Elephas maximus indicus: one gene and its partners. The main gene of each other region encodes a partner of the protein of the gene in region 3 in a complex. Links are inferred from orthologs where the notes say so. Each region holds a gene or a part of one and is shown on either strand. Other genes may lie near its edges.

The links.
Region 1: the proteins of MED25 (region 3) and MED16 are in contact, whole or in part, in a cryo-EM structure (PDB 7EMF), measured with the Homo sapiens proteins. The link is inferred for Elephas maximus indicus from reciprocal best matches to the Homo sapiens genes MED25 and MED16. Residues at the interface, in NP_112235.2 of Homo sapiens: Ala26, Asn27, Gly29, Pro30, Tyr31, Val74, Asp75, Cys76, Ala77, Pro78, Glu79, Val82, Cys84, His85, Pro87, Lys102, Phe103, Met104, Gly105, Gly106, Gly107, Gly108, Glu109, Thr120, Gln123, Leu124, Asp127, Phe128, Tyr151, Leu152; in NP_005472.2 of Homo sapiens: Cys41, Arg42, Ser92, Ser94, His113, Arg161, Lys163, Phe171, Gly172, Gly173, Lys174, Pro195, Gly485, Tyr486, Ala516, Ala517, Gln520, Val521, Thr524, Arg525, Ile554, Ala555, Ser558, Lys561, Ser562, Leu563, Leu564, Arg565, Pro566, His567.
Region 2: MED25 (region 3) and MED26 share a complex: the UniProt entries of both Homo sapiens proteins name them as parts of the mediator complex. The link is inferred for Elephas maximus indicus from reciprocal best matches to the Homo sapiens genes MED25 and MED26.
Region 4: MED25 (region 3) and MED7 share a complex: the UniProt entries of both Homo sapiens proteins name them as parts of the mediator complex. The link is inferred for Elephas maximus indicus from reciprocal best matches to the Homo sapiens genes MED25 and MED7.

Annotation. Positions count from the first base shown.
Region 1 is NC_064821.1:625,709-633,308, forward strand, and holds the start of MED16 (mediator of RNA polymerase II transcription subunit 16), read right to left. Parts: upstream 3,482-7,600; 5' UTR 3,365-3,481; intron 2,382-3,364; exon of another isoform or gene 2,353-2,381; 5' UTR 2,345-2,352; coding exon 2,212-2,344; intron 1,410-2,211; coding exon 1,302-1,409; intron 1,017-1,301; coding exon 847-1,016; intron 1-846. UniProt on the Homo sapiens protein: Component of the Mediator complex, a coactivator involved in the regulated transcription of nearly all RNA polymerase II-dependent genes.
Region 2 is NC_064821.1:36,781,923-36,790,255, forward strand, and holds the start of MED26 (mediator of RNA polymerase II transcription subunit 26), read right to left. Parts: upstream 3,523-8,333; 5' UTR 3,483-3,522; coding exon 3,339-3,482; intron 1,362-3,338; coding exon 1,287-1,361; intron 806-1,286; coding exon 1-805. UniProt on the Homo sapiens protein: Component of the Mediator complex, a coactivator involved in the regulated transcription of nearly all RNA polymerase II-dependent genes.
Region 3 is NC_064829.1:100,254,681-100,262,508, forward strand, and holds the start of MED25 (mediator of RNA polymerase II transcription subunit 25), read left to right. Parts: upstream 1-4,490; 5' UTR 4,491-4,534; coding exon 4,535-4,668; intron 4,669-4,763; coding exon 4,764-4,809; intron 4,810-4,963; coding exon 4,964-5,088; intron 5,089-7,828. UniProt on the Homo sapiens protein: Component of the Mediator complex, a coactivator involved in the regulated transcription of nearly all RNA polymerase II-dependent genes.
Region 4 is NC_064820.1:173,622,705-173,630,178, forward strand, and holds the start of MED7 (mediator of RNA polymerase II transcription subunit 7), read right to left. Parts: upstream 3,253-7,474; 5' UTR 3,167-3,252; intron 1-3,166. UniProt on the Homo sapiens protein: Component of the Mediator complex, a coactivator involved in the regulated transcription of nearly all RNA polymerase II-dependent genes.

The DNA of each region.
Region 1 (7,600 bases), on a different chromosome or scaffold from region 3:
CACAAGATTAGATGTCAGGAGAGATCAATCCCTGGAGAAGAACATCATGCTTGGTAAAGCACAGGGTCAACAAAAAAGAGGAAGACTCTCAACGAGATGGATGAACACAGTGGCTGCAACAATGGGCTCAAGCATAACGACAGTGGGCACGGTGCAGGACCAGGCAGTACTTCGTTCTGTCGTCACTAAGAGCTAGAACTGACTCAACAGCACCTGATGACAACAACACAAGATTAGATAGTGTCTTACACTAATCTCTTTTGACATATAAAAGAGAGAAGCGAGCAGAGGGACATGGGGACCCCCAAGGAAGCAGCACAGGGAGCAGAGTATGTCCTCTGGGCCTGAGATTCCCGCACTGCCACGCTCCTAGATCAAGAGAAGACTGATGGCAAGGTTCTTCCTCCAAAGCCAACAGAGAAAGAAAGCCTTCCCCCGGGGCCGGTGCCCTGAGTTCGGACTTCCAGTCTACTGGACTGTAAGAACACAAACTTCTCTTTGTTAAAGCCATGCACTTGTGGTATTTCTGTTATATCGGCACTAGATGACCAAAACACAGGACTTTGGCCAATAACTGCTCCTGCTCCAGCTATCTTTCTGATACACCATAACTTTAAAAATTTGGGACTGTTCCAGTGACGCTTCCTTGGCCATGACTGAACCAGGCAGAACCCGTTTCAAGCCCCACTGACAACCAGGTGCTCATCCCAGGTGTGAACCAGGCCCAGGGCTCAAGAAATCAGGGGACAATGGTGGTGGTGGGAGACGGGGAGACAGGTGGCCAGGTGAATGGGTAGGATGGCAAGATCTCACCCACCAACCTACTCACTCAGGTGGGCCACTCACCTTTTCCACATGGAGGGCCAGCTTCACTCCATTGTGTAGCCAGGACAGGGCCACGATGGGGTCCCCCTCCACCAGGCTGCCCACTGGGCTCTCCCAGCTATTGGCCAGGTGGTCTGCCATGCCCCAGCACTTGATCTGGCCGTCAGCATCGGCCGAGAGGAGCCGGGAGCCTGTGGGGACAAAGCTGCATCACAAACCTTCCCCAGAAGGCAGGGGCAAACTCCCAAGGGGCCTGGGAAGGGGGGACAGGTTTCGAGGGTACAGACGGTATGAGAGGAGTGCCCAGTGGAAGGCGTGGCCTGGGCAAAGGCCCAGCAGTCGGGAGGCCTGAGGTGCGCTCAGGAAACGTCTCTGGACACAGTGAGCAGGAGAGACTGATGGCAGGAGGTCCAAGTCCCAACTCTACAGTTGGAGATGTGAGCATGTCGCAGCCCAACCCGGGGCCCGTTCCTCACCTGACTGGTCCCACTCGAGGCAGGTGATGGCCTCACGGTGCTCCGAGTCAATGGAGTGCACCTCCCAGGGGTGTTCCGTGTCCAGGATATGGATCATACGAGTCAGGTCTGTGGGACGGAGCACGGTCAGCATGGCCCGGAAGTGGTACGGAGCACCGTCAGCATGGCCCTGAAGGAGCACCCTGAGGACCCCAGGCAGGCTCAACTGAGCAGCCCACCAAAGACCCCATTCACAGGGAAGCTGTGGAGCTGCCATCAATCACGTTGAGGACAACGGTGACACAGTGAGGCGCGTGTGTGACCCCGCCAGAGGAGAGAGGCAGGCAGGGAACACACCACTGCCAATGTAATTACAACCACGTTCTCACAAAAGGCACAGAAAACAAAAATGGGAGAAAATGAACCCAAAACGCTAACAGTAAGCACTTGTCCGTGGAAGGTAACAGGTGGTTCTTTTTCCTAGTTCTAGTTTTCTGTGCTTTTCTAATTCTCTCTAACGAGCACATATTATGCAGACGATGGCAGAGAGAGACCTGGGCACTGTGTACTTCAGAGATTTTCAAAAGCCAAACAGTGACCCATATGTTCAAAGACCGAATGGAAAATGGGGCGAGTGAGTCTCCAGATACGCCTCAGTGACCCACCACCCCCCGTCCCCACTCAATCCCGTGGGAGTGAACCCAAGCACCTTGCAGGTTCCAGGCATGAGAGGTCTCCATGTTCACCCCCTGAATCCCTGTGAGGTTGGAGATCCCACTGCCCCCAGGTTATAGACAAGGGGGCAGGGTGAATGGCCAGGCTGCCCACTGGGTGAGGGGTGGAACCGGGGTCCTAGACAGGCCTGAGACTGAGCCCCACGGTGCTGGCTCCCCAGGACTCCAGGGGCACTACTGTGGTGCGGCCAGCGCACCTTGATCATCGTTCCGCAGGTCCGTGGTGAAGGCAATGAGGTTGCGGCAAGACCAGGCGCAAGCCAGGGGCACGGAAGGGCAGAGGGTGCTCCTGGGCCATTTTTCCCACTCGCAGACGTAAGCCAGGTCCATTATGCCACCTGCCACACAGCACGGATGTCACTAGCTCCTGAAGGAGGGAGGGCTTGTCATTGATGTTGGCGCCTGCAGTGTGCCAAGTGGCACTCTGGACCCTAGACATACCGCAGGAGTAAACAAAGCAGATCAAATCCTTGCCCTGGGCACTGTGTGTGTGTGGTGGGAGGATCTGCAGCTTTAAGTGGGGAAGCGATATGTGAGCACAGGGGTGAAGGAGGGAGGCAGGAGACATCTGGAGGAAGAGCCTCCAGGGAAGGGAACAGGACGTGCAAAGGCCCTGAGGCAGGACCAAGCCTGGCGAGTTGGAGAAAGGCAGCAGCATGGCTGTGGCTACAGCGAGTGAGCAGGGAGTGAGCAAGAGGAAGGAGGAGGGAAGGGCAGGGGGCCCACAGGCAGGCTGTGGACGAGGAGGACTCGCCCCGGGGCCCTGGAGGGCCGTGGCTGGAAAAAATCAAAAAACAGGAGCCCGACGGCTGTCCGCAGGAGCCCGCGGGAGGCGAGGGCAGCACACGGAGGACCCTGATTGGTGACACCGCGGAGTCGGGCTCACCCCAAAGTCTCCCCAGGCTCCTCCCGGGGACCCCACCCCAACGTGTCCCCGACCAGGCCGCCCACCAGCCCCGTCCTCCCCGGCCCCGCCCCCTGACCCGCGGGCCCCGCCCCCTGACCCGCGGGCCCCGCCCCTGACCCGCGGGCCCCGCCCTCATCAGCATTTGCTCTGCAGTCCTCGCCCCGATTCCCCCACGGCCCCCAGGCCCTGACCCCCGCGGACCTCAGGCTCCACCCCAAGTTCCCGTAACAGCCCCTGGGCCCGCCCCCGGCGCGCTGGCCGCGTACCCAGCACCCTTTGCTCCCAGACCCCGCCCCCCGGCCCTGCAGGCCCCGCCCCCGGAACGGTGGCCCTCGAGGCCCCGCCCCCGCCGGTTCCACCTATTCTGGCCCGCGCTCCCCGGGGCCGCGAGCAACGTCCGGACGCCGGACGCCCCCGCCGGGCCCGCGCAGCGCCGCGCTCACCTGGCCAGCCCGTGCGCCAAGCCGATCGGGCGGCCACGGCCCGCACTCGCGTTAACCCGCGGGCTCCGGCGCCGCCATATTACCCGGGACCAAAGAGTCGCCTGCGCGGCGTCGCAGCTTCGCAGAGACTTCTGGGACGGCCCCGCCCCAGCGCCATAATTTGCATGCGGTGGCTTATTTACATGGAAATCTTCCCAGCAGCCATCGCAGTTCTAGTTGGTAGAACAACTAGGGGACTTTCTCCACGGCAGTTATTCTTAAAATTTTTTGTTATTACTCCATGTGTTGTACTAATGTCATATAAAGGATTTATAGATTGCTAACCTTAAAAAAAGAGTGACCTTTACTGTAAAGAGATGAACAGGAGATACTATAAATATGGGACGGACTAGCGTGGTAACCGTGCTCGCTTCGGCAGCACATATACTAAAATTGGAACGATACAGAGAAGATTAGCATGGCCCCTGCGCAAGGATGACACGCAAATTCGTGAAGCGTTCCATATTTTGGTTCTTATTTCCAATCTTCATTGGAGGGTAAACTGAAGCTCCAAGGCTTGTCCCGTGGGGGGAACTGCCGGTTCCAAACCTGATTTCTTTTCCAAAATCTCATTCTTTTCCCCCCGCCAGCACTGCCCCTCTTGGGCTACCGAAGAAAACGTTCTAAAGTTGCAGGCAACGCTTCTAGCGCACCCCAACCCTGGGGAGCACCCCAACTCCGCAGCCCGTACCTTAATCCCCAAGGCTTGCCCTCTGGGAACCACTTCCCGGATAGTGACCCTCGCGCCGGTCAGTCCAGCCGGGTCTTTTGAACCCCGCACTGGGCACGCACCACCTCTACCCAACGTTTGGATTTCCATTTTCAACATCTGTCTTGAAAACGTTTTAAACGTGTGTTAAAATGGAATCGCGCACGCCCAGCGCCCAGATCTTGGTTCCCCAAATCACGCTCCGATAGTTAGAACCGGGCTCCTTGGAGAAATGGCCGATTCTAGGAGGGTGCAGAAGTATACAAAATGTGCCAGAAAATAAGGAAATAACTCGGTAAATAACCCCCCCACATGATGGGGTAGGTCGAAAGGACGCAGGAGACAACCGAAGAGCTCCCCAGGGCTGAAGTGGAATCGCTTAAGCAACAAAATAAAGTAGTATGGGATTATAATCCAAAATTTAAAGTGATCCCCCTTGAGTTCATAGTGTTATAAATAGATGATTGGATAATGTCACCGACTGAATTATGTCCCCCCCAGAATCTGTGTATAAACTTGGTTAGGCCGTGTGTGGTTGTCCTCCATTTTTGTGATTGTAATTTTACGTTAAGAGGATTAGGGTGGAATTGCAACACCACCCTCTCTCAGGTCACCACCTAGATCCAATGTAAAGGGAGTTTCCCTGGTCTGAACCACCTTTCATCTCTCAAGAGATAAAAAGAAAGGGAAGCAAGCAGAGAGTTGGGGACCTCAAACCACCAAGAAAGCTGCACCAGGAGCAGAGCGTGTCCTTTGGACACGGGGTCCCTGTGCCTGAGAAGCTCCTGGACCAGGGAAGATTGAGGACAAAGGATCTTCCTCCAGGGCTGACAGACAGAAGGCCTTCCTCTGGAGCCGACGCCCTGAATTTGGACTTGTAACCTACTAGACTGTGAGAAAATAAAATTCTCTGTTAAAAGCTATCCACTTGTGGTATTTCTGTTATAGCAGCATTAGATGACTAAGACAGATAAATTAATAGAGGGAGAACAGAGATCTCCCTGCAGAATTCAAAATACTCTGTGTAGATTCTCCAGCCTTACGCCCACCCCTAAGTGTGGGTGCATAGTGATGTCCTTCCAAAGGGCACAGCTTGGAAAGGGGGGAAAGGGCTCACTTCACAGTGCAGACACCTGACAACTCACCTGAGCCAGGTGAGCAAGGTCAATGTCACAGTGACGGTTCATGTGGACTGTATGCACCCTGATATGGTGAGATGGGGAGGGCACCTCACCCCTGGGGTTTCCTCCCCAAAACCCACAGCCTCAGTCTCCTCATGAGAAAAGCGCCAAACCCCAATCAAGGGGCCTCCCACAAAACTCCTCAGTAACACCCTTTAAAACCATCAAAGTCTCAAAAACAGGGAAAGTCTGAGAAACTGTCGCTGCCTAGAGGAGCCTGAAGAGATGCGAGAACTAAAGGTCCCGTGGGTCCCAGAAACAGGAAATCAGGGAAAAACGAAAGAAATTTGAATAAAGTGTGGACCTTAGTTCATGATAATGTATCAGTGTTGTCGTTTGGCAGCCAGTCGATTTCAAAGCATGGCGTTCCCATGTGTGCAGAGCAGAACTGAGTCAATAGGGTTTTCAAGGGTGTGACCTTTCAGAAGCAGATAACCAGGCCTTTCTTCCTAGGGGCCTCTAGGTGGGTGCCATGGATTGAATTGCGTGCCCCCAAAATGTCTGTCAACTTGGCTGGGCCGTGATTCCCAGTATTGTGTGATTGTCCATTTTGTCGTCTGACGTGATTTTCCATGTGTTGTGAATCCTGTCTCTATAACAGAAACCCTGGTGGCATAGCGGTTAAGTGCTATGGATGTTTACCAAAAGGTTGGCAGTTCAAATCCACTAGGCGCTCTTTGGAAACTCCACAGGGCAGTTCTACCCTGTCCTATAGGGTCACTATGAGTCAGAATAGACTCCACGGTAATGGGTTTGGTTTTATGATGTTGATGAAATGGGATTAGCACGGTTACGTTAATGAGGCAGGACTCAATCTGCAGGATTGGGTTGTGTCTTGAACCAATCTCTTTTGAGATATAAAAGAGAAGTGAACAGAGACAGGGGGACCGCATACCACCAAGAGAGCAACACTGGGAGCAGAGAGCGTCGTTTGGACCCAGGGTCCCTGAGCCTGAGAAGCTCCAAGACTGCGGGAAGATTGATGACAGGACCTTCCTCCAGAGCTGACAGAGAAGGCTTCCCCTGGAACTGGTACCCTGAATTTGGACTTCTACCCTCCTAGACTGTGAGACAACAAAACTTCCTGTTTGTTGAAGCCATCCACTTGTATTTCTGTTACAGCAGCACTAGATAGCTAAGACAGTGGGTTTGAACCGCCAACCTGTCAGTTAGGCATCAAGCTGTCACCCAAAGACTCCCCAGTATTGATATTGTTCATTATTGTGACAAATGGCCACACTGATGTGAGACGTTCAAAAAGGGGAAAGCAGGCATGTGGTGGATGGGGCTCTCTGAACTGTCTTCCCGGTGACTGTAAATCTGACGCTGTTGCTGTTCTAAAGTAAAAAGGCTATCTTTCTTTAAGGGTCTGAATATCCGAAGGCCACACTGGATCAAGATTAAAGTCCTCAAGGGAGGATGGTGCCATGACTGTGCAGAAAGTCCCCGTTCCCGGAGCCGAACAACTGAGGGTGACAGACTCCAGGCCCGAACCTCCCTCTCAAAATGGCTCAGAACAGGAGATGCAGACCCCAAATTCTCGTAAAAGACCAGACTTAATGGTCTGACTGAGACTAGAAAGACCCCAGAGGTTATGGTCCCCAGACCTTCTGTTAGCCCAAGACAGGAAGCATTCCCAAAGCCAACTCTTCATACAGGGATTGGACTGGACTACGGGGTAGAAAATGATACTGGTGAAGAGTGAGCTTCTTGGATCGAGTAGACGCATGAGACTATGTGGGCAGCTCCTGTGTGGAGGGGAGATGAGAGGCCGGAGGGGGTCAGAAACCGACTGGACATGAAAATACAGAGTGGGGGGAAGGAGTGTGCTGTCTTATTAGGGCGAGAGCAACTAGGAGTATATAGCAAGGTGTTCACAAATTTTTGTATGAGAGACTGACTTGATTTGTAAGCTTTGACTTAAAGCACAATAAAAAAAAAAAAAAGGCTCAGAAAATAGTCATTGGGAAATGGATCCAGTGACCAGAGGAATGGCATTCACAGGCCCCTCCTGCCACCTCCCTGGCGTCTGAGCTTCCAAAACAAAAACACTGTGAGCAGGGGGATACAAAATTACCATTGGTGGGAAACAAATAACCCAGGCCAGGAAGTGCAGCTAAATAGATTTCTGAGCATGGTATTACTTGCCCTGAGCCAGGGTTTTACCTGCATCAATTATCTCACATAATCCTCCTGCCGACCCTGTTTATCACATGGGGAAACTGAGGCACAGAGAGGTTAGTGACGCATCCAAGGTCACACAGCTGAAAAGAGGCAGAGGTGGGATTCGAACCGGGGGTACTCAAG
Region 2 (8,333 bases), on a different chromosome or scaffold from region 3:
GCGTGGGGGGCTGGGCCAGTGGGAGCGGTGAAGGCGCCTGTGTGGCCTCCACTGATGGGGGCCGTGGTGAGGGGCTGGGCACTGAGCCCTTGGGCACGTATGGGCTCCGCTGCCTGGCGAAGGGGCCCTCATGCCGTGAGTTCCGAGGGCTGAAGGAGCAGCGGGGGGCGCCCCTGTGGTGGGGGGCCCCTGGGGTCTCGTCTACCCTGTCCAGTGGCTGCAGTGAGGCAGCCTTAGCCCCCAGGCCTGGGCCTGGTGAGCTGGTGTGCGGCCTCACGGCATTGACCGGGATCCAGCCACTGTGCTTGTCGTTCTCGCCAGGCTCCAGGCGGCTGCCCTCAGGGCCTGTGTGGCCGCCGCTGTCCAGGGGACCAGTGAAGCTCTCAGGGCTCCCGCTGATCCCATTGGTGGGCAGGGGGGAAGAGCTGGGGGCCAGAGGCTCATGGCTGGTCTTGCTGGCCTTGGGTGGTGGCCCAGGGTGGCCAAGGTCACGCTGGTCTCCCCGGCGCTTGCGGCTGCCCGGCCTGTCCAGCCGCTGACCAGGCAGCCTCTGGATGTCATTGCGGCTCTTTAGGTCACGGATGCTCCGGGGCCCGACGGCTGCCCCCGCCTCTGGCCGGCAGTTGTGAGCGCCCCCGTTGGCAGAGCCGGCGGTGCCAGGCAGCCCCCGCAGCGCCGCCTCACCCTGGTGCACAGGTTCAATGAGCTTCTGCCAGCTCCGCAGCAGCTTCTTGGCCCGCTTGGCGAGCTCCTCGTTCTTGGTCTTCTTGCGGACGTCGTTGATAAGCTTCCCCAGCCGTGTCTCCTGCAACAGAGTGGGTGGTGAGGGGCGGGGTTCCTGGCCCGGGAGAGGCCTCCCAACATGAGAGCTCTGCGACAGCTCTACCTCCAGCCCTGCTCCCTGGGGCCCACAGGCTATGGATGGCAAAGCCACGGCCACCCAAGGACCTAGTCCTCCAGGCAAGGGCCTCCAATGAGCAGAGGACTACCCCAGGTGTGCAGTTCACATGGGCCAGGATCTGCCCCACCTATCTCCGGTGAGAGCACCCAGTTCCTGCAGTGCTTTATGTGACAACTCGGTCTTGGAGCACACCGGCACCCTGAGGCTTCTGACAGGATGGCACCTCGCTCAGTCCTCTTAAGGCCAGTAAGGCACATTCTACAAACCTCCTAACTCATGGGTAGAGACCTAGGGGCTCGGGCACGCCAGGGAGGATACAGTGGGGAACCTGTGCCCTGCCACAGCGCCCCTGCTCCCGCATCCCCAGGACAGCAGCAGCACCCACCTCCAGTGCCTCTTTGGTAATGGGGTATTTCTCCAGACTGGAGATGACTTCCAGCACCGCCACCATGTTCCGGATCTGTAAGACAAGAGCCGCTGTCAGTGCCTGCCCCTGTTCCCCTACCCCAGCTCAGGGCAAGCAGAGCTGGCAGCGCCCAAGCCCCTACCTGCCCCTAGGGGCTAACATGGCCCCCCCCGCACCCCCCCTCTGAGCTTCTACCTGGTTGGCTTACTGGGACCCAGACACACCCCTGCCTGCATGCAGTTATCACGTACACAGCCTGCGTGTGCCATCTGATTTGGCACAAAGCCTAAAGGAAATGATCAATGTGCAATAAACCGATCACTGTGATCATACTGAAATCCAGACCTTCCAAAGAGACCAAGACAGTGTGAAAACACGAGCCGCAGGGACATGCGACCTCACGAAGAGGCGGACAGATTACATGAACTGCCCAGACTACAGAGGCAAATCCACAGAGATGGATGTGGAGTGGGGGCTGTGGGGCTGAGAGGGGAGGAGGAGGAGGGAGAGTGTTTCTCCTTGGAGTGTCTGACTGTTTGAGAACTAGATCGTGGTGATGGCTGCACAACACTATGAATGGACTAAAGCCCAGTGAATTGTACTTTTATAGGCCTAAAGTGGTGAATTTGATCTTAAAAAAAAAAAAAAAAATTTTTTTTTTCATTTTAATTAATATTTTTGGTGAGAACAATATACATGCTCTCACTCCAGTTTGTAAACATAATGACCAATGACACTGTTATGTTCTTCACACTGTGCCAACATTCTTGTTATTTCTGTTCTAGTTGTTTCATTTCCATTAACTTGTCTCAAAACATTTCTTAAAACAGGATCAAAACATTTCAACACCAATAAGCTAAGGCTTACTCCCTATTAATCAGGAAAGTGCAAATTAAGACCACTACAGATACACAGGAACCTGGTAGAAGTGGTGTCTGGGATACCTGGTCGTAGGGGTGCAGCCAGCCTCAGGAACCAGCGTGGGTTTACCTGGTGAAGTTGAGCACGCACAGACCCCAGGCCCCAGTGAGTCTATCCCTGCCCCATGCTTGCTGTCTGCCGGCCCGCTCAAAGCCCTTGACCTGTGTTAACTCCTTCAGTCATAACCACCCTCCCATCTTGCAGACAGAAACAACGTGTCCAGAAAGGCCGCTGTCTCCTCCAAAGCCCTGATCGCGACCAGGACCTTGCCCCTGAGGAGAATGGCTACTCTGTGGGTTGAGAGACGTGAACGAGAAGACCCATGACACTGCAGCCACAATGACCACAAGGGGTCAGGATCACAACACAGGGTAACCGAGAGCTGAAGGACTCGACTACATTGACTTGAGAGGAAGTGTGCCCAGCAATGGGAATGAGCGAGCCACAGCTGCGTCAACAAGGATGAATCGTAAACAATGCTGAGTGAAAAGTCACAAAAATACACACTGTCTGATTCCATTTACATCAAACACCAAACAGTAATTAGGAATGAACACAAATTCAAATGTAAAAGTTAAAACTCTAAAAGCATCATAGAAGCAGCATAGGAGAACATCTTTGCAGCCTTGGGGTACACAAAGACTTCTCAGGGGCCCCAAAGCACCGACTGTAGGAAGAAAATACTGACAAACTAGACTTTATCAAAATTAGAAAGCTCTGCTTGGTAAAAACTACTGTTAGTGAGCAGGCAAGCCACAGCCTGGGGGAAAAACGCTGACAAAACAAGTACCCGGTGAAAGACTTGGATCCACACTATATAAAAAGTTCCCACAGACTCAACAATAACCCCAGCAGCTATAGGCTTCTGGGGGCTTGTGGCAGGGCCAAGAGGGCTTGTTGGGGGCAGGGCGTGGTCGCAGGAGGCCCCCGCTGCACCCCTGTGAGTAGCAGTGAGCACAGCACTCCCCACCCCCAATCACTTGAATTTGTTTTCAGCTACAGTTGGGTCGTACAAATTAAAGTGGCATTAAAGGGCACACAGTGAAGTGTACTCTGCCCACAGCCACTTCAGCATCGCCTTGTGTGACTCCAGAAGCATTCCTTGCGTACATCAGCATGCGCAGACACCTGGCCCAGCCCTTCTTCATCCCAGGGACACCTGGGTGCACTTCCGCAGCCACTACAGATGAGGTCGCAGTGATGGCTTTCCCCAGCCGTGACCTGGGTTGACCAAGCGTAAGCAGAGAAACACATCCCGTCAGGTGGGGCTGGCCATCAGCCTGTCCCCCCTGCCAACCCTGTCCTCACAGGACCGTGTGCTGTGGGTTTTTTGTCACTGCCAAAACCATCACACATTAGTGGCTTAAACAACGTGCGTTTATTCTCTCTCGGTTGGGCAGACAGAAGTGGGTGAGGGTCTCACCTGCTGGAGGCAGGTGTGGCGGGCAGAGCCGGACCTGCAGGGTCGGAGGGAGGGTCTGAGTCCCTGCTCAGTCAGGTGGTGGAGGGATTCAGCGCCTGTGGCTGTTGGGCTGAGGTCCCCGTTTTCTCACTGGCTGTCCCTTGAAGGCCGTGTTCAGCTTCTGGATGTGGCCCCATTCCTCAGCCTGGCCCTTCCTGCATCTTCAATCTAGCAGTGTAGCCAAGTCCTTGCTTCGTCTCTCCGACCTGCTGGGATGATCTCAGCTCCTCTCTCCATCTCAGTACATCCCCATAGCCTCCTACCACGGGAGGAGCCGCATGCCTGGCTCCCAGGACCAGGACACAGGTGTCTTGGGGAGTTAGCCTGCCAACTGTATGTGTTTCTGCACCAGGGTGTTGGTGTCCCCTCCAGGTGTAAAGGTGCCCAGCGACCACAGCCAACTGAGAGGCCACTTGCCAAGCTGCCCTTCCACCCACGGCCCATGTGCTCCTAGGTGAGACTACCCTGCAACTTTCCTTGTGGGGCCATGTCTGTGAGCATATCTAAGGGGCATCAGCGGGAGGTGATCTGAGGTGAGATGCCTCAATGGGCAGCGAGCAGAGACTGGGTCTGGCACTGACGGGTCCCATCCTGGTGACCTCACACGGGTATATTTAGAGCCAGGTCCCGCAGGGCAAGCACTACTGCCCAGGCACAGCCAGCCGGCGGCACAGAGTGTCCTTGTCTTTGGGTGGATGTCTTCCTGCTGCCAGACGGGCAAGGAGGCAGAACACCTGGGCAAAGCAGGCGAGCACGTTGAAAATGGCTGGAACTGGTGCAGGACAGCTGGGAGCCGTGGGGGTGAAGGTCAGGTAATAGGCAGTGGAGCTAGGCAGCGACTACGTGCTCTTGTGCCCTTGTACTCGGGCAGAGCAAAGGCCTTCAGCTCTTATGATGTGTTTGGGGTGCTGGCACTGAGGAGTCGGGGGCTGTGGCTGCCTGGAAGTTCAGGATCAGCTGGCCTGATCCCCTGAGCTCTGCTCTCAGCATCCAGGCCAGCAGGGCCTGGGACAGGAGAGACGTCCTGCCTTGCTTGTCTGGATGGCCTTTTGCCTGCTTGATGGTGAGACACGGAGGAGCGTGGGAGCACCAGCCTGGCAGTCCCAATATATGCAGCTGCCCCCTTCCCCCGCCCCAGGACCAAAGCAGACCCCGCTGAGTACACTGGGAGGCTGCCCGGAGAAGGGTCTGGCTTGAGGCCCTCCCCCACCAGAGCCTCCCACAGCTTGCAGTCCGTGCATGGGGCCTGCTGGGGTGGGGGTTCCTGGCAATGCCACATAGTGGAGGAGCCTTCCCCAGAGGCATGGGCAGCACCAAGTGGGGCTGGGCCCCAGGGGACTGAGATGGGGACGGCCCTCTGCCCTTCCACCACCCTTACGGGGAGGCCCTGGGGGGCGCTCAAGGCACTGCAGGGAGGGCCCCACCCAGACCACTCAGGGCAGGCCAACTGTCAGGCTGAGGGCAGGACAGGGAGGTCATGAAGAGGGCAGGGTAGGAAGCTTCAGCTGAAAGAAGGGGGACAGAATACAGGGTCTGTCTCCACAAGCGATGGGGTAGAGGGCAACTGACCTACCAAATGGGGAAGTGGGCAAGGCTGGGGAATGAAGGTGAGGAGCTGGCACCCTGCCTGCCCTGGTCCCCACAGACCACGGTCTCTGTACACTTCCGTCCCTCCGATCCGGCTCTTTATAACAGTGTGGCCCTTAGGGGGTTTCTAGTGGTTCTGCTGCCTTAGTCAGGCCCTGCCCCTCTGGACTTCTCCCCAGGACATGTCCCAGTCAAATAAACTTCTGGAAACCACATGCCAAACAGTTTTCCTAAAGAATAGGAAACACACCAGCCAGGTCTGAGCCTGCAGCCAGATGGGCATAATGACTGGAGCACAGTTCTGCCTGCCCCACTCACTTATGTCCATCCACCCTGCTCTGCTGGAAGACAGGACGCAGGGAAAGGGTGACTGCTGCTCCAGCCCTGCCCATCCCAGGAGGTCCTGGCCCCTGCCAACGACAACACTTGCATAAAAATCCAGGGTCCTGTTGGCCTCCGCCAAGCCCAGGATCCCGAACCCAAGGAGCTGCTCCCTCTGAAATCCCGGGACCAGGAGGCGGGCTGCACTGAGAAACCCTGCCCACAGCAACGCAAGTGATGTGCCACCAAAACAAACCCCGCCTGAGCAAGTCCGCAGCTAACCCTCACCACAGGTCTCACACCTCTGCTTCCCAAGTCAGATCATCCGCCCAGAGCCTGGCCCCAGGGGCTGGGACAGACCCCAACACTGAAAGCAGCCCCCACATAGGGGGATTTCTGGGTCGGTCTGAAACAGGAACCGAGAGATAGGGCTCTTATGTCTGCATAGACATGCACTCTCACCGCCCCCTCCACACCCAAAAGGCCCCCTGCAGAAAGCCCCACCTCCGGGAACTGACAGCAGGTGTGCAGATGCACTGGGAAGGGGGACCCCGGCCCATGGGCAGGAGTGGGTGGGGTGGGGTGGGGGAGGAGCAGCAGCCATCCTTGTGGGGCTCCAGGGGCTAAGCCCTTTCCTCATCACCCTCACACCCACTTGACAGACAAGGATATTGGCATTGGGGCAGGTGGCTTGTCTTGCTGGAGGCGGCAGGCCTCCCTCGCCACAAGCCATGTCTGAGGCTTCACCAGGTGGATGCGGGGATCTGGTGCCACTAGGCCACAGTGACGCCACATCACCCCAGGGAAAAGCACTGGTCACAGAGCTCCCAGCCTCCCTGAGCTGGTGGCTTCCAGGCTCGGCAGCACCTGTGCTGGTCTTAGGCCTGTCTCCGAAGAGGGAGGCTGGGTGTTGCCATCTTGGCAGGGGCTGTAGGCACCCCAAGGCTCCAAGTTTAAAGATGGGGTCGGGGAGCACCCTAGCCCCGACCTCTACCCAGCCTATCCCCCTGTGGAGCCCCAGCACATCCCCAGCCCAGCTCATGTCCTCTAGCCCCCACCTGCTGGCCCTGTGGGCTCCAGGCGGTAGGGGCAGCAGACAAGCCAGGGCAGCCCAGCGTGTAAACCAGCTTCGTGGTTTCATGCAGCATGGTTTAGGCTAGAATTTACAAAGACCATTTAACTTGAAGTTCACCAGCAAACCAGCTCTCTGTCCAACCCAAACCCGCCACACGTGGCACCAGAGGTGGTGGTCCAGTAAAGGTGCCCCTCTGTGTCCCCACAGACCCTGCTTCTGACCAACCCCACTGCAGTGTGATGGATTACTTTTATGTAGCCTTTCTCGCCATGGTCTTGGTAACTCCCATCCAAGTGATTGGGTGGGACTGTGCAAAAAAGGTAACTGTGGCCCACCAAAGGGATTGGTCAGTTTTGCTAGCCTGGTAAGCTTAAAATGAGCCATCCCAGAGGCATGAAAGAGAGGATCCCACTGCCACCAGGGAAGAACAGTCAAGAGTGGAGCCTGTCTTTTGGACCCAGGATCCCTGCGCTGAAAAGATCCTGGAACCAGGAGAGAGAGAAAGCAAACTGTAACATGGAAGACGGTGAGAAGCAGCGGCAGAGAAACAGCGGCAGGGAAGACCAGCAGCAGGGGATTGTGTGGGGGGCTTCCTGGCCAACAGAGCTAGAAAGCTGAGTGCCTTCAGGCAGGAGGCTTCCTGGAGGAAGCCTTCGAACACTTGGTGAAGCTAGGTTTGCTGATACACAAAGCTAGAGCTGAACCCTTTGGGTGGAGGCTTACTGGCAGAGTGGGGTGCCTCTGGGCGCTTACTGGCTGACCTAAAAGAGCTTGTAACACTTGCCTAAGCAGGGCAGAGGCAAAGGGTCAGAGACAGGCATGCCCGGGAGCACGTCTGGGAAGAAGCTGTCCTGATGGAAAAACTGTATCCTGGGCATTCCTGAATGTGAATTATAACCTGTTACTTCCCTGATAAACCCCATCATCATGAGCACTGTCTGAGTTGTGTGTGGCCACTGCAATGAATTATCGAACTCAGCCGAGCAGTAGCGTGTGCCATCAGAATTGGTAAAGAAGGCAGAGAGAGGCACATGTCTGATCTCCACCTCATAGGAATCAGCCTTGTGCTGTTGATCTCGATTCTCCCTCCCCCTTGTGAAGAGACAGGAGGTCAGATGCTACCCGACAATGTTTTTACATCTGCCCACAGGCCCTGAGGGAGCACAGGCCCATCCTCCTGATCCCCCCTTGGCCAGGCCCCACAGCAGTGCAGGGAGCAGGTCTTCCTCAAGCGGCTCCAACCCCCACTCCTCATCCAGGCGCCTTCCTCCCCAGAGGCCCCACCGAGCCTCACACCCTGTGGGGAGCCAGCTCTTCCATCCAGGGCTGCAAGAGGAAGAACGCCAGCCACTGAGCACTTACGAAGCGCTTCCTCTCCATGGGCCATCTGCTTCCCATGGGCATCTACAACCCCCAGGAGGGCACGCAACTGAGAATCAGACCTGGCCCAGGGACTTCCACCACCGCCGTGGAGACTCTGCAAATGGCTCCTAGGCCAGGCCCAGAGGACAAGGGGACCAGGCAGGTTTGGCACTAGCTGTGCCCCACAGAGCAGATGGGTGTCGGGCTACAAAGCCTTGGGACGGGACAGTGGTGGCTTGGCCCTGCCACCACTTAAGTCTGAGCAGCCCTTCCTGGCAGGACCTAACCCTGGCATCTC
Region 3 (7,828 bases):
TCCAACCTTTTTCTTTTTTTAATAATTTTTATTGTGCTTTAAGTGAAAGTTTACAAATCAAGTCAGTGTCTCACACAAGAACCCATATACACCTTGCTACACACTCCCAGTTACTCTCCCCCTAATGAGACAGCCCACTCTCTCCCTCCACTCTCTCTTTTCCTGTCCATTTCGCCAGCTTCTAACCCTCTCCACCCTCTCATCTCCCCTCCAGGCAGGAGATGCCAACATAGTCTCAAGTGTCCACCTGATCCAAGAAGGTCACTCCTCACCAGCATCCTTCTCCAACCCGTTGTCCAGTCCAATCCATGTCTGAAGAGTTGGCTTCGGGAATGGTTCCTGTCCTGGGGCAACAGAAGGTCTGGGGGCCATGACCGCCGGGGTCCCTCCAGTCTCAGTCAGACCATTAAGTCTGGTCTTATGAGAATATGGGGTCTGCATCCCCCTCTCCAACCTTTTTACCAATTCTGACACCAACCATCCCTCCCAAGGCACTCTCTGCTTCTCTGCTGGGTTTGATCATTTGTTACAATGGCCACACAGAACTCAGACAATACTCACTATTACGGGGTTTATGAGAGAAGTATCAGGTTACAATTCAGGTTCAGAAATGCTCAGGATACAGTTCTTCCACTAGGACAGCTTCTTCTCAGCCCTGCTGCAGGCACACCTCTCTCTGGCCCCTTGGCCTCTGCCCTGCTTGGACAAAGTGTTACAAAGTTCTTTTAGCTCTGCTGATAAGTGCCCGAGGGTGCTGGGCTTTCTTGCCCTGTGTGCCGGGAAGCCCCACCGCAGCCTCCTCATGCCCGTCTTCTGATTTGTGCCTTTTCCCTGTCTCTTCCATGTTATAGCTCCTCTCTCTGTCTCCTGGAGGTAGGAGGTTCTCAGTGCAGGGATCATGGGTCCAAAGGGCATGCTCCACTTCTGCCTTTTCTTTCTTGGTGGTGTTGAGATCCTCTCTTCTCACATCTGGATGGTCCCAGTGGGATGGCAAAACTGACCAATCCCTTTGTTTGGTTCCATACAGTTTATTTGCATTTTTTTTTTTTTTACCCCCACGAGGGTGCCGTGCACATTATGTACATTATCCAATCCCCTTAGTGGGTCAAAGCACCTCATTTGCATAGTCCTACCCAGTCATTTGGTTGAAGTTAAAAAGGCTATGGCTAGATGGGCCATATTAAGTAATTCACTGTACTGTAATAGTGTAGTCAAGTTGATACATAACATTAGCCATCACACACCCCCTCTCCTTTGTGTGTAGATGGACCTGTGACTTGCTTCTAACAAACCAAATATGGCAAAATTGATGGAATGGCACTTCTGAGATTAAAACCCAGTGCCGTCGAGTCGATTAGGTTCTAAAATCTATGAATTTTGTCTTGCTTGGATTTGCTCTCTTCCCGGCACTTTCTCTTGCTCTCTTGCATGCTCACTCTGATGCAGCAAGCTTCCTTGTGAGCTCCCAGTGAGGAGGCCTATGTGCCAAGGAACTGAGGTGGCCTCCACCAACAGCCTGTGAAGAATTGAATCCTGCCAATAACTACATGAGTGAGCATGGAAGCAGCTCCTTCCCTAGTTGAGCACTGAGATGATTGCACCCCAGCCAACAATTTGGTTACAGCCTGTGAGAGACTCTGAAGCCCAAGACCCAGCTAAGCCTGATTTACAAAAACTGAAATGATTAATGTTGCTGTAATAATCCACAAAGTTTTGGGATAATTTGTTATAGCACAAGGCAATTTAATGTCCGTTATTTCTTCCACCATATTTCACATTATGGTACATTGTGAGCCTGACAATTCCAGTAACAGGAGTCTTTGGGGGTCTGTGTCTATCAAGGGTGGTTTCTGTGGATTCTAACATATAGTCCTCACCACTGAGCTGGTGGTCTTTGCTTGTGAACTCACTACTTGATATTGACTTGAGTCCTGAGGGGATTATTTACTTCTACTTCTGTAGGTTGCCAGGAGTGACACCAACCCGTAATTGCTTCAGCTGCCCTGGAAGGTCCTGGCTTAGCTGGAGAACCAGACTCATGTTTTTCAATTCACAACTGTCCCCATGCTGTTGGCAATGCCAACACAGTCCCTTCCTGGTGCATGCAGTTCTTCCCCCGAACTCTTTCCTTTTTGTAATTTTCTGGTCCTGTTTTTTTGGGGGGGGGGGGGGCAGAAGGGAGGGAATCCCTGAAGGCTATCCCTACCTCTTATGAAAGCAGTGCCTCAGAAAATGTTAGCACACCTATGCCATCATAATTCCAGAAGCTGAAGTCCAGTTTAAGTTATCTAATTTATATTTTACTATTCCTAATACAAAAATAGAATTGCTTAAAAACCAATCAACTCAAGCATTCAGCTCATCAAAATGAAAGTTTCCTTATAGTTAACAGGGCAGAATTTGAGTTACCATTTTAATATTATTCTAACCTGTTGGCCATTTTTCCTTTCTCTGTTAATCTTATTTTCTTTCAAAAATCATTAAAAATTTAGTTACACTGGCATAAAATAGGGAGGGGGGATCTTTGCTAGATTAAAAATGTCTAATACTTGTGTGTGTGGTCCTTGTTTGAATCCTGGTTAAAACAAAACAGTTCTAAAAAGTCATTTTGAGAGAATTGGGGAAATTTGATTACAGATTTGATGTTAGATAATACTAAGAACTAACTTCATTTTGTTAGGAGTGATAATGGCACAGTGGTTATGTAAGAAATGTCCATAAATTTTTAGATGCCTGCTAAACATGTAGAGGTAAAAATGATATGACTTTAGGGATTTCCTTAAATGACTTCAGTTAAGAAAATAAAAGAAAAAGAGACCAATAAAGTAAATGTGGCAAAATGCTGCTACTGCTGTGTTCAAAAGGAATTCACCTTTTATGGCTTGAAAATACACTGCCAAACTGCACTGGAGCAAGGTGATAATGCATGAGACTTCTCATTTCACCAAACCCTCCTGCCTGCATAGACATTATTGTTCTTTTAAATATTTATTAACATGAAAATCATAAACTGTTATGTCCCTGGACTTTCCGTTAGCACTTTTGAATTAGTGGAGATGAGTTTTCATATACTTACTGGCCCGTTTTAATTTTTCTCTTTGAAAAGACTGGTCGGACTCTTCCCCGTGTTTTAAATGACAAAGTATCTCTATTTTTTTAAATTCTAATATTTTTTTTGTGCATAGTAAATTTCTGTCGATACACATGTTACAAATATTTTCCCAGTTTATGGTCTATCTTTCAATTTAGTTATGGAGTCTTTTGTGGACAAATTTATCAGTATTTAAGTTTTCTGGTTTTGCCTGCTCTCTGGGTCATCTAGTGCTGCTATAACAGAAATATCACAAGTGGATGGCTTTAACAAAGAGAAGTTTATTTTCTCACAGTCCAGTAAGCTAGAAGCCCAAATTCAGGGTGCCAGCTCCAGAGGAAAGCTTTCTTTCTCTGTTAGCTCTGGAGGAAGGTCCTTTTCATCGTCTTCCCTTGCTTTGGGAGCATCTCAGCACACGAACCTGAGGCCCTCTGCTCCCAGCACTTGTTTCTTGGTGGTACGAGGCTCCCATGTCTCTCTGCTCACTTCTCTCTTTTATATCTCAAAAAAGATTGGTTTAAGACACTACCTAATCTTGTAGACCTCATCAATATAACTGCTGCTAATCCATTTTATATTACATCATAGTGATAGGATTTACAACGCATAAGAAAAGCACATAAAATGGTGGACAATCACACAATACTGAGACTTATGGCCCAGCTAAATCGACAGGTATTTTTGGGGGACACAGTTCAGTCCATGACACCTGCCATGAAACTCTTTTCCAGTTTTCAAGATTACACAGTGTGCTTCTGTTTTACTTCGTATGTTTTCATGGTTTCATTTATTCAGATTTTTAATCCACCTGGAATGTATTTATGTCTTTGGTCAGTTTCTGGGCCCTCTCCCAGAAAACATCCATTAAGTGTTGCCTACCAACCTCTACTTGAGTTGGAATTAGTTTGGGGGGCGGGGGGTAACAGCTGCACTCCTTTCCAAGTTGACTGCAACCTTAAATGATTGCCTAGCAACCTTGTTTCCAGCGATGTGATTGGACCTTTCCCCAAACCCCCCATCCACCAGATAGAAACTTAATCTCCCTTTAGAAAACAAGTGCCGCCTAGTTGCATAGCAACCAAATCTCTTGGCCAAATCGGATTTTGACCGGAGTGGTAAACAGCGGTGCCCCGCTCAAAGATGGCGGCGAATAGCCACTTTGAATGTGTGTAGCTCTCCTCGGCCCGGCCGATAATCCAATCTCCGGCATTAGGCTCCTGAAATAATTCACTAAGCCTCTTCCGAGTCTCCCATTCTGAGGGAACAAGCAAGGAAAAAGATGGGGCAAAGGCGTCCTGGATGCCCCGCACAAACATGGCCGCGGGGGCGTCAGCAGCTGCGGGAGCCCGCCCCGCGCGGGGACGCGCGCGGCGCAGGCGCTTTTCCGGCCATTCCGCGAAGGTGGCGGCGGCTGCGGCGGCGGTGGCGGCTGCTGCTCGGGGCATGGTCCCCGGTTCCGAGGGCCCGGCCCGTGCCGGGGGCCTGGTGGCCGACGTAGTGTTTGTGATTGAAGGCACGGCAAACCTGGGGCCCTATTTCGAGGGCCTCCGCAAGCACTACCTGCTCCCGGCCATCGAGTGAGTGAGGTTTCCGCGACTGCGGCCCCGCCCTCCAACTTTAGTTTTCCTCACCTTTTTGCCTGACCCCGACCTTTCACTTCCGACCCTGACAGGTATTTTAATGGTGGTCCTCCTGCGGAGACGGACTTTGGTGGAGACGTGAGTCTCGGGACCGCGGGGTCTGAGGGAGGAGGGGGCCGGGAGACAGGGACTCCGGGCTCTGAGGGAGGAGGGGCCCGGGGACGTAAACTCCCGGGTCCGAGGGAGGAGGGGGCGGGGCCCTGATTAAATGTTTCTTCTCTTCTCCTCTCAGTATGGGGGGACCCAGTACAGCCTTGTCGTATTCAACACGGTGGACTGTGCTCCCGAGTCCTACGTACAATGTCACGCTCCTACCAGCAGCGCTTATGAGTTTGTCACCTGGCTCGATGGCATTAAGTGAGCTTCTTCCCTTCTTGGGGCAGTTTGGGGAATCCTGTGAGGAAGGGTGAATGAATGGTTGCTTGGGTGTGAGCTGCAGGAGCCATTCACTCTCACTGGGTGGCTGAAAGGACTCTGTGAGGGCGTTTGTGTGTTTTTGTCCCTAAGTCACTTCTGTGGCAGGTTCTGTATGTCATCCAGTTTGAAAGCAGGAAAAACTTAACCAGTCAGATGAGATAGGTCTGGTTGAGCTCTAGCATCTGCCTCAGACTCCATCAGTGACTGAGCTGTGCCCTTGCCTTACTGCCCGCTGTTTCCTGTCTACTCCAGGCCTCTTTTTCAGATGCGTACATTGAAGTCAAGAGGCTCTAGTGGCACAATGGTTAAGCACTCGGCTGCTAACCAAAAGGCTGGCACTTTTAACTTACTCAGTGGCTCCATGGGAGGAAGACCTGGCAATCTGCTCCCCCCAAAATTAGTGGAAAAAAAAAAAAATTACAGCTTAGAAAACCCTGTCAGGAGTTCTGCTCTGTCACATGGGGTCACTAAGAGTTAGAATTTACTGGACAGCATCTAACAACATTGAAGCCTGATAGCAGGAGGCCCAGGGCTAGGCCAAGTGGATCCTTCTGTGGTTTGGAGTGGATTTTCATAGTTCATAGTGCAAACTCTGGAGTTAGCCTGGGTTAGAATACTGTTAGACTACAAGCTAACTCTCAGACCCAGGAGTCCCTTTTCCCGCTGTGCTTGATGTAGGCCATCTGTAAAACAGAGACATTGATCATGCTTATGTTAGTTTTTGTTGTAGTACCTAGCCATTGTTGCATAATGAATCAGGGTCCCTGGGTTGTGCAAATGGTTTGGGCTCAACTACTAACCTGGATATTAGTGGTTTGAGCACACCCAGTGGCACCACGGAAGAAAGGTCTGGTGATCTGATACCATAAAGATTACAGGCAAGAAAATCCTATGGGGCAGTTCTACTCTATAATGTTTGGGGACGCCACGAGTTGAAGTTGACTCAACTGCAATAGTTTGATTTTTTATAATAAATTACCCCCGAATGTAGTGTTTTCAAACAACGAATGTTCATTACATTATTTCATGTAGTTTCTGTGAGCAAGGAACATAGGAGCAGCCAAGCTGGGAGGTTCTGGTTCAGGGTCTCTCATAAGGTTGTAGCTGAGATGTTGGCTGGGGCTGTAGTCATTTGAAGGCTGAACTGGGGCTGGAGGAACCACTTCCAAGATGGCTCCCTTACATGGCTGCTTCAGTATCTTCTCAGCACGGCAGCTGGTTTGCCCTACAGTGAGCAGTCCAACGTAGATCACGAGGGAGCCACAAGGCCTAAAAAGTGTCAGAAATCACGTACCGTCACTTCTGCCAAATTCTGTTTGGCACACGAGTCAGCCCCGTTGACTGTCTAGGAATACCCAGAATGTAGTTCATACTTCGATCGTCTAGTAAACCTCTGTATAACCTTTCAGACCCAATGAGGGCACTACACAAGGCCGTGAATACCAGGAGCGGGGATTGTCCGTGGTTATCTTGGAGCCTGGTTATCACGACTTCATAGGGTCATTTTGATAACTAAATGAATCGATGACAGATTATAGCCAAGAAAATCCGTGTGGAGCAGTTCTACTCTGTAACGTACGGTGTCACCATGAGTTGGGGTCTAACCAGATGACAACTATCAACCATAACAGGAGATAACAAGTGCTTTCTAAACACCTTAGTTACATATCTACTCTTCACAGTCAACTTAGAAGACAGTGTCTAAACAAATAAAAATACTTTGTGAGCTCACTGCGGAATTCCAGCAACCTGCTGGCAAAATTTTTGAGCTCTCATGTAATGTTCACAGTAGTCACTGTCATGTAATCTGCTGTGTAGGCATCTAAATACTGTCTCTGTCGTTTCTGACGTAGATCTCTAATAGGGATGACATGAAAATTAAATATCATTCACACTCTGTAAAAGTGGCCTGTGGATGGCATCTGACCTTGTCTAACTTCAATGGCAGGGTGAATCATCAGCATCAGCCCAAGGCTAGTTCCTGTAAGGGGAGGTCAGACATACCTCCTCCCTCCATCAGCTGTGCCTCCCATGGCACTCTGTACTTTTCTGTTGGGTTCGATGATTCGCTGCAATGACCGTACAACTCACAGACGGTACTCAGGATTATGGGGTTTGATAAGGAAGTAAAAAAACCCAAAATCCACTGCCGTTGAGTCTGTTCCAACTTAGTGACCCCATAGGACAGAGTGGAACTGCCCAATACGGTTTCCAAGACTGTAAATCTTTACAGAAGCAGACAGCCACATCTTTTTCCTGCAGAATGGCTAGTGGGTTTGAACCACTGACCTTTTGGTTAGCAGATGAGTGCTTTAACCACTGTGCCACCAGGGCTCCTTATTAGGGAAATAACAGGTTACAATTCAGGATCAGGAATGACTCAGGAGACTCAGGATACAATTCTTCAGTCAGGACAGCTCCTTGGCGGTGGCTGCAGGCAAGCCTCTCCTTTGGCCCCTAGGCCCCTTGGGCTGGCCTCTGCCCTGCTTGGGAAAGTGTTACAAAGCTCTAGCTCCCCAGTAAGTGCACGGAGGCACTCCACTCTGCCAGGAACCCTCCTGCCCGAAGGCACATGGCTCTTGGTCTGGGCTGGCAAGCCTATTGTAACCAACTTGGTCCATGGGCCAGGAAACCCACAAGTCTGTCTTGCACTGGTCTCCTGCTTTTGCTGCCACTGTCT
Region 4 (7,474 bases), on a different chromosome or scaffold from region 3:
TTTATCAACCTACTCCCCATCACACCTGTCACCAAGTCCTATTGACTGTTTAACTTCTGCATCTCAAATTTATCAGTTTGGGCCAAGCCACCATTCTTTCTGGCCGAACACAATAGTTTTCCCAGGAATATTTTTGCTTTCACTACTGTTCTTCTTTGTAGTAGCCAGTATAATCTTGTCTATTATTGTAGTGAACTAGCAATACTGTCTTCAGTCTAGCATTCTTTCAGATTTAATTGTATCACGCTCTTCTGCCTTTGGCCTTTCCACTTGCTATTCTTTCTGCTTGGAATGTTTTTCTGCCTGATCCTAGCATGGGGCTGGCTTCAGGCATTAGCTTAAACTATCACCTTTTCACAAAACAGCGAGATCAACAGTAGGTCTTCTTTTATTCTCTGTACTAGTATCCTGTTTTTCTCTCCCATCAGACTGTAAACTCCAGGAGGGGAAGGATTGTGATAATCATAGTTCTCATTACGTCCACAGCCTTGCAGGTAGGACCTTTATAAATATTTGAGCAGCTCCATCCATTTCAAGAGGGCTCCAATCAATGGGAATTTGAGAGTAGGCTCAAACATCCTTAATGAGTACGCATTTCTCAAATATTTTTCTGTATGAAATGAGTATACAGGCAACATGATTACAATGATAGCTAATATTTTAGCGTACACTATATGCCAGACACTGTTCTAAATATTTTTCTCATAGTTGTGAGAAATCTGCAAAAGGTACTCTTATTGCCTCAGTTTTAGAAATGAGATAACTGGCTCAGAAAAGTTAAGCTACTTGCCTAATGTCACTGAGCAAGTAGCAGAGTAAGGATCCAGAGCCTAAAACTCTTAAATACTACACTATACCATTTTTCTAGACACTGCCTCCATCTTAGTATTGCTTGCAATCTTAGTAGAAAACAAAACTAAAAATTCCACATAGGAAAATATATCGTAAGCAAATTTTTAAAAGATAGTAACTGGGAGAAAAATGTTTGCAATACATAACAGTAAATACTAAACATTTTATTTTGATGTTTTAAAACTTATTTTCAGACTCCATCCCCACTAGAAGGAAAGCACCATAGTATCAGGAATTCTGCCTGTCTTGTTCACAATTCTATCTCAGCACCTCAAACAGTGCCTAGGAAATGCCTGATCATCAAAATAGCCACTGAATGAGTTTTTTAAAATCTATGCTAAAAAATAATAATAGACAAAGGATGAGAAGGAGAAAAATGCCAAATAAAGGTGGGAAAATGTTCAGACATACATTTTTCAGAACAAAACTTAAAATGCTATTTTTCATTTAATGGACTATAAAGATCTCAAATATCCCATCATTCAGCAAATGTCTGAACACTTCCTACATAGCAGGCTCCAGCAGAGGTCACACTCTCAGTTTCTTCAGAGTGGTCACCCAACTTTAGAAGCAGTCCCTTAGCTATTCTGGCCCAGCAGGTATGCCTTCTCAGGTGGAGGGCACCCACTCACTGCAGCTCTCACGGAAGCAGCCATCATCACTACCACTGCATGACTCCCCTAAGTGGTAAGCCAATACCACCCAAGAGAATACGGGGAATTTTCAGGCACAGCTGATGGGAAAGGAACCTAGTAGGTATTTGGAATTTAAAATGGCAATATCCAAATTTTACATGCTGATATTCTTTAAACCAACAATCCCATTTCTAGAAATTTATCCTATAAAAATACTGGTACAAGTACACAAAAACATGTACAAGGATGTTTAACATAGCACTGTTTGAAGAGTAGGAAAATTTGAAAATAACCTATGCCTTCATCAATATGAGGACTGGATAAAATACAATGTCTAATACTCTACAGCCATTTAGAAAAAATGGGTGAGTATGTGTGTGGTTGGGGGGGGCATTTATAAATATTGTTTCAATTATTTACAACACACTTAGTTGCAAACAGTTAAATCAACTTTTTAAAACTTTATTTTAACAAATTCAGAACTCATATTCTTCATCCTGATTTCCCAAATTTTAACATTCTCCTCATTTGCTTTAGCGGCTACTCATCCTTTACCCATAAAGTACTTCAGTGTGTATCCCAAAAACCAGAATGTTCTTTTATAACCACAGCATAATGATCAAACTAGGGAAATCACCATCCATACGGTACTTCAAAATAACATTTTGGACATCCCAGGTTTCACCCCACACAAACCTTTTTTCGGTTGGGAGTCCTGTCCTGTATGTATTCCCCAGCACCATTAGCATTCCTCTATTTAAGTCGCCATTTTCCAAAGGCCAACTACGTGACAGGTACCATTGTTTATATCCTTACTTAATTTTCATAATTCTATGATGAAGATCCCAGGGCTCAATGTGGGAAAGTACTTGCCTCAGATCAAACATTAGTAAATGGCAGAGCGGGGATTCTTATTCTTATCCCAGATTCTTTTAGTTGCAGAGCTCTTCATTAGCAAAGCTATGAAGCTTCTAACTGTACCACTGAGACTTGATATATTACAGAAATTGTGTTCATTTCTCCATTTCCTCTTAGATGGAGCTTTTTGATGATGGTGTTTTACTCATTTTAGTAAAACCAGCGCCACGCATCATAGCCGGTGTTCATACTCAACATCCACCTTCTTAGTGTTTGTTCCGTTCTGGGGACTTAAAAAAAAAAAGTATTCCAGGCCCCCCCACCCCAGGAATTTGATTCAGCTTGTCTATAGAGTGCCTCTGAAAAGTCGTTTTTAAAACCTCTCCAGGCGAGTCTGACGATTAACCTTGAGATCTATCGCCCCCCTGACCTCTATTAGCTCCCTGATGTGGGAAGGACAGAGATGGTTCTTTCCATTTGACAAAGGGCCAGAGGGAAGAAATAATTCGCCCATGGCAACACAATTTAAAAAACCGGCGGCGCGGGGCCTAGAACCCAAGCTCTCAACCTCAGTGCGGCTCGGTCTCCCCACCCGGACGAAGCCTCGAGTCAGCTGCGCAGGCAGCACCCTGCGGCCGGGTGTCCACTCAGGGGGTCGGGAGGCCGAGCTCTCCGAAGGAAGGGGAGAAAAAGGAGGGCCACCCTCGGACGGCGCGCCTCCCCAGGCCTCCCCCAACCCCAGCCCAGCTCTGAAATAGGAGTAGGGTCCGGAAGAAGAAACGCACGCAGACCGGAGCCCCAAGCCGTCGCCATCCACTAACCTCAGCTCTGGGCTTACACCGGTAGCCGCCTTAGCCACTGCCACCAAAATCCGATTTCCGTTCTCCTTCCCCAGGAAGAAGCTCCTAGGCGCTGTCCTCTGATTGGCGGAAAAGACTGTCTTTTCCCGAGACTCTAGTCCCGCCTCAGATCACTAGGTCGCTATTGCGCCTGCGCGGCCTCACGTAGTAGGCACAGCCGCTAGGAGGGGTTGGAGGTGAGCTTGCTGGTCTGTGTATTTTCAGTCATAAAAAAGAGAGGCTCATGGCTCCGTTCCTTTTTTTCTTTTAATTTTTTTAAAGTGCTTAAGACAGTTAAACAAAGCATCCATATGGTTTGTATAAAAACTAGAAAATACAGGTAAAATTTTTAAAAAAATTATATCAACAAAACTCTAAACCCACGTCAAAATAGTGTAAATATATAAAATATAAATAAATACGTATTAATATATATAACGTAAAAAATGACTAAAAATGATATTGGACTCTATATGGTACTTATAATTCTTTTAAATAAGGGTATATTTGTTAACATGCTTGGGAGTTACATGTTGTGAATCTTCATTCTTCATCATCCATTGACTTTTATTTTCATTTAGGAATTCAGAAGGGTCTATTTAATATTTCCAGGCAACAAATTACCAAGTTAAAAAAAAAAAAGACTCAGACTTAAAGGTTTCTTATAGAGGTTATTTTTGTAAGAAGTGGCACAAATTTCTAAATTTGTGGGAGTCTTGAAAGAGCTGTGGACCAAATAATACAAGTAGAGATGAATTTTAACAGAGCAGAACAAATGGGTAGCTTTTATGAAAATCAGCATGTTTTTGTGAAAAATAAGATTAATATTCATTCTGATAAAAGTTTGCAGCAGTTTTACCTCCTCAAAAATAAGATTCATTGCTTTTTTTTTAACTTACTGTGAAGAATTTCTAATATACACAATAGCAGAGAGAATAGTGTAATCAATTTCTGTATGCTCAGCACTACCCTGAATAACTACTAGCCGTAATTTCATCTGTATTTCAGCATGCATTTTCAAAAAATATACACTCATTTCCTTAACATAACCAGTATCATTATCTCATTTAAGAATAAACTAACAATAAATCTTTAATATCAAATATGAGGCCAGTATACAAATTTCAAGTATCTCAGGATCCAAATAAGGTCCACCTTTTGTAATTGACTGTGTCTTTTAATTTCCTTCTAATCTATAGGTTCCTTCTCCATCTCAGTTTTCCCTCATCTCAGTTTATTTGTTGAGATAACCCATAATTTCTGAACATACCCCAAATAAGCTCTTCTCATTTCCCTTGACATTGTTCTTGTCAAGGTCACCAGTGACCTACACTAATGACCTTCAATGGCCATTCTCAGTTCTCGTTTTACTACTCCTCTTAGCAGCATTTGACACAATTTGGTCATTTAGATTATTCTGGAATTCAGTTCTTCAGATACTTCTCGGTCAGATATTATCCAGGCCCTGGCAACACCCTCACCTCTGAGCTTTAGACCCCCGTACCAACATTATTAGACCTCTTTACTGCCAGAAAGTCAAGCTAGATTCAAAAGAGGATGTAAAACGAGGGATATCATTGCTAATGTCAGATGAATCTTAGCTGAAAGTAAAGAATATTAGAAAGATGTATACCAGTGCTTTATTGACTACGCGAAGGCATTCAACTGTGTAGGTTGTAACAAATTATGGATAACATTGTGAAGAATAGGAATTTCAGAACGCTGATGTGAAACCTCTCCGCAGATCAAGAGGCAGTTGTTCAAATAGAACAAGGGGATACCGTATGGTTTAAAATTGGAAAAGTTGTGCATCAGGATTGTATCCTTTCATCATACTTTTTCAGTCTGTATGCTGAGCAAATAATTTGAGAAGCTGGACTCTATGAAGAAGGTTGCCGGCATCAGGATTGGAGGAAGACTCATTAATAAGCTGCAGTAAGCAGATGACACAATCTTGCTTGCTGAAAGGGAAGAGGACTTAAAGCACTTATGGATGAAGATCAAAGACTACAGCCTTCAGTATGGATTACACCTTAACCTAAAGAAAACAAAAATCCTCACAACTGGACCAGTAAGCAACATCATGATAAAGGGAGAAAAGATTGAGGTTGTCAAGGATTTCATTTTCCTTGGATCCACAATAATATCCATGGAAGAAGCAGTCAAGAAATCAAACGATGTACCGTATTGGTTAAATCTGCTGCAGGAGACCTCTTTAAAATCTTTGAAAGTAAAGATGTCACCTTGAGGACTAAGGTGCACCTGACCCAAGCCATAGTATTTTCAATCACTTTAGAAAGCTGGAGTGTAAAAAATGATGACTGAAGAATTGATACATTTGAATTATGATGTTGGTGAAGAATATTGAATATACCATGGACTGGCCGAAGAATGAATAAATCTGTCATGGAAGAAGTACAGCCAGAACGCTCCTTAGAGGCGAGGATGGTGAGACTTTGTAGTGCTTACTTTTGATACTTCATGAGGAGGGACCAATCCCTGGAGAAAGTACATCATGCTTGGTAAAGTAGAGGGTCAGTGAAAAGAGGAAGACCCTCAGTGAGATGGATTGACACAGTGGCTGCAAGGATAGGCTCAAATATAGCAACGATTGTGAAGGTGGCACAGGACCAGGCAACATATAGTTCCATTTTACAGAACGTCACTATGAGTTGGAGTCTAATTTACGGCACATAACAACAACTATTCACTCAATTGCAAAGGCTCAAACATGAGAAGTCATCCTTTACTCCAGCTTCTTCCATATTCCACATCCAAACTACTGGCATTTTGTGTTCTTTTTTTAATAAAGTCCCAAATTTGACTAGTTTGCTCCATCCCACTGCTATGATCATATCCCACACCACATTTATCTCTCACCTGGACTTCTGAAATAGCTTCCTAACTGGTCTCCTCAATTTAACTTTTCCCCCCTCTTACTCTGTTTACTAAGGAGCCATGGTGGTGCAGTGGTTAAGCACTGGGCTGCTAACCAAGGGGTCTTCGGTTCGAACCCACCCTACCAGTCCATGGGAGAAAAGATTTGGCGACTTGCTCACATAAAGATTACGGCCTAGGAAACTGTATGGGGCAGTTCTACTTTGTCGTATAGGGTCACTATGAATCGGAATCAACTTGACAGCTCACAACAACAATCTATTTACTATTCTGTCTTAAAGGATAGATTTTTATCACTTCTCTACTAAAATTCTTAATGGCTTCCCATCTCATTTAGAATAAAATTCAACGGAGTCACCATGGCCTACGAGGCCCTTCAAAATTTACTTCTTGGCTCTCTTTCAGGTATTATTTCCCACCATTTTTCTCAGTGTTCACCCTTCTTCAGCGACACTGGCCTTACTAATTTTTCCCTGTAAAATCACTAAGCACACTTCCACCTCAGAGCCATTGGTTTGCCTAGAACTCTGCACAGACATCTAATGCCTCACTCTCTCACTTTGTTCAGGTCTCTGGTCAATTGTGACCTTTCTCAGAGAGCATTTCCCTGGCCACTCTGAATAAAATAACACACCCCCAGTCATTCTCTGTCTCCTTATTCTGTTATCCTTCCTTCATAGCACTTGTCATCATCGGAATCATTGAGTATATTTTTTATTTTTTGTCTTTTCCATCAAAATGCAGGGTTCATGAGGATAGGGCTTTTGTCTATTTTATCCACTGTTGCATTCTCAGCACCTAGAAAAGTTTCTGAATTAGCAAGTGCTCCATGAATATTTATTAAATAACAAATATATAATCGTATCTCTTTTTTTTTTTTTTTTGCTTTGAAAACAAATTTATTTTCTCACAGTTCTGGAGGCTAACGGTCCAAATCAGGGTCTTGGCCATGTCAATTCCTTATCGGTAGCTCTGGCTACCGATTTCTTGGTTTCTTGGCTTGAAGTCGATCCTCACGTGGCATCTGTCTTCCTCTGTGTGTGCATCTGTGTCTAACCTGCTCCTTTTGTAACTCAGAAGTGATTAGATTTAGGATATGCCCTACACTGTGTTCTCAAAGGATTGATTAACTACATTATATTACATTATGGAAAATGATTATATTAAATTGTATTCACAGGTATAAATCAGTTGCTGTCTAGTTGATTCTGACTCATGATGACCTCATGGGTGTCAGAGTTGAACTGTACCTGTTACAGATTAAATTGTGTGGCCCCAAAATGAGTGTCAGCTTGGCTAGGCCATGATTCCCAGGATTGTGTGATTGTACACCATTTTGTCATTTGATGTGATTTTCCTATGTGTTGTAGATCTTACCTCTATGATGTTAAT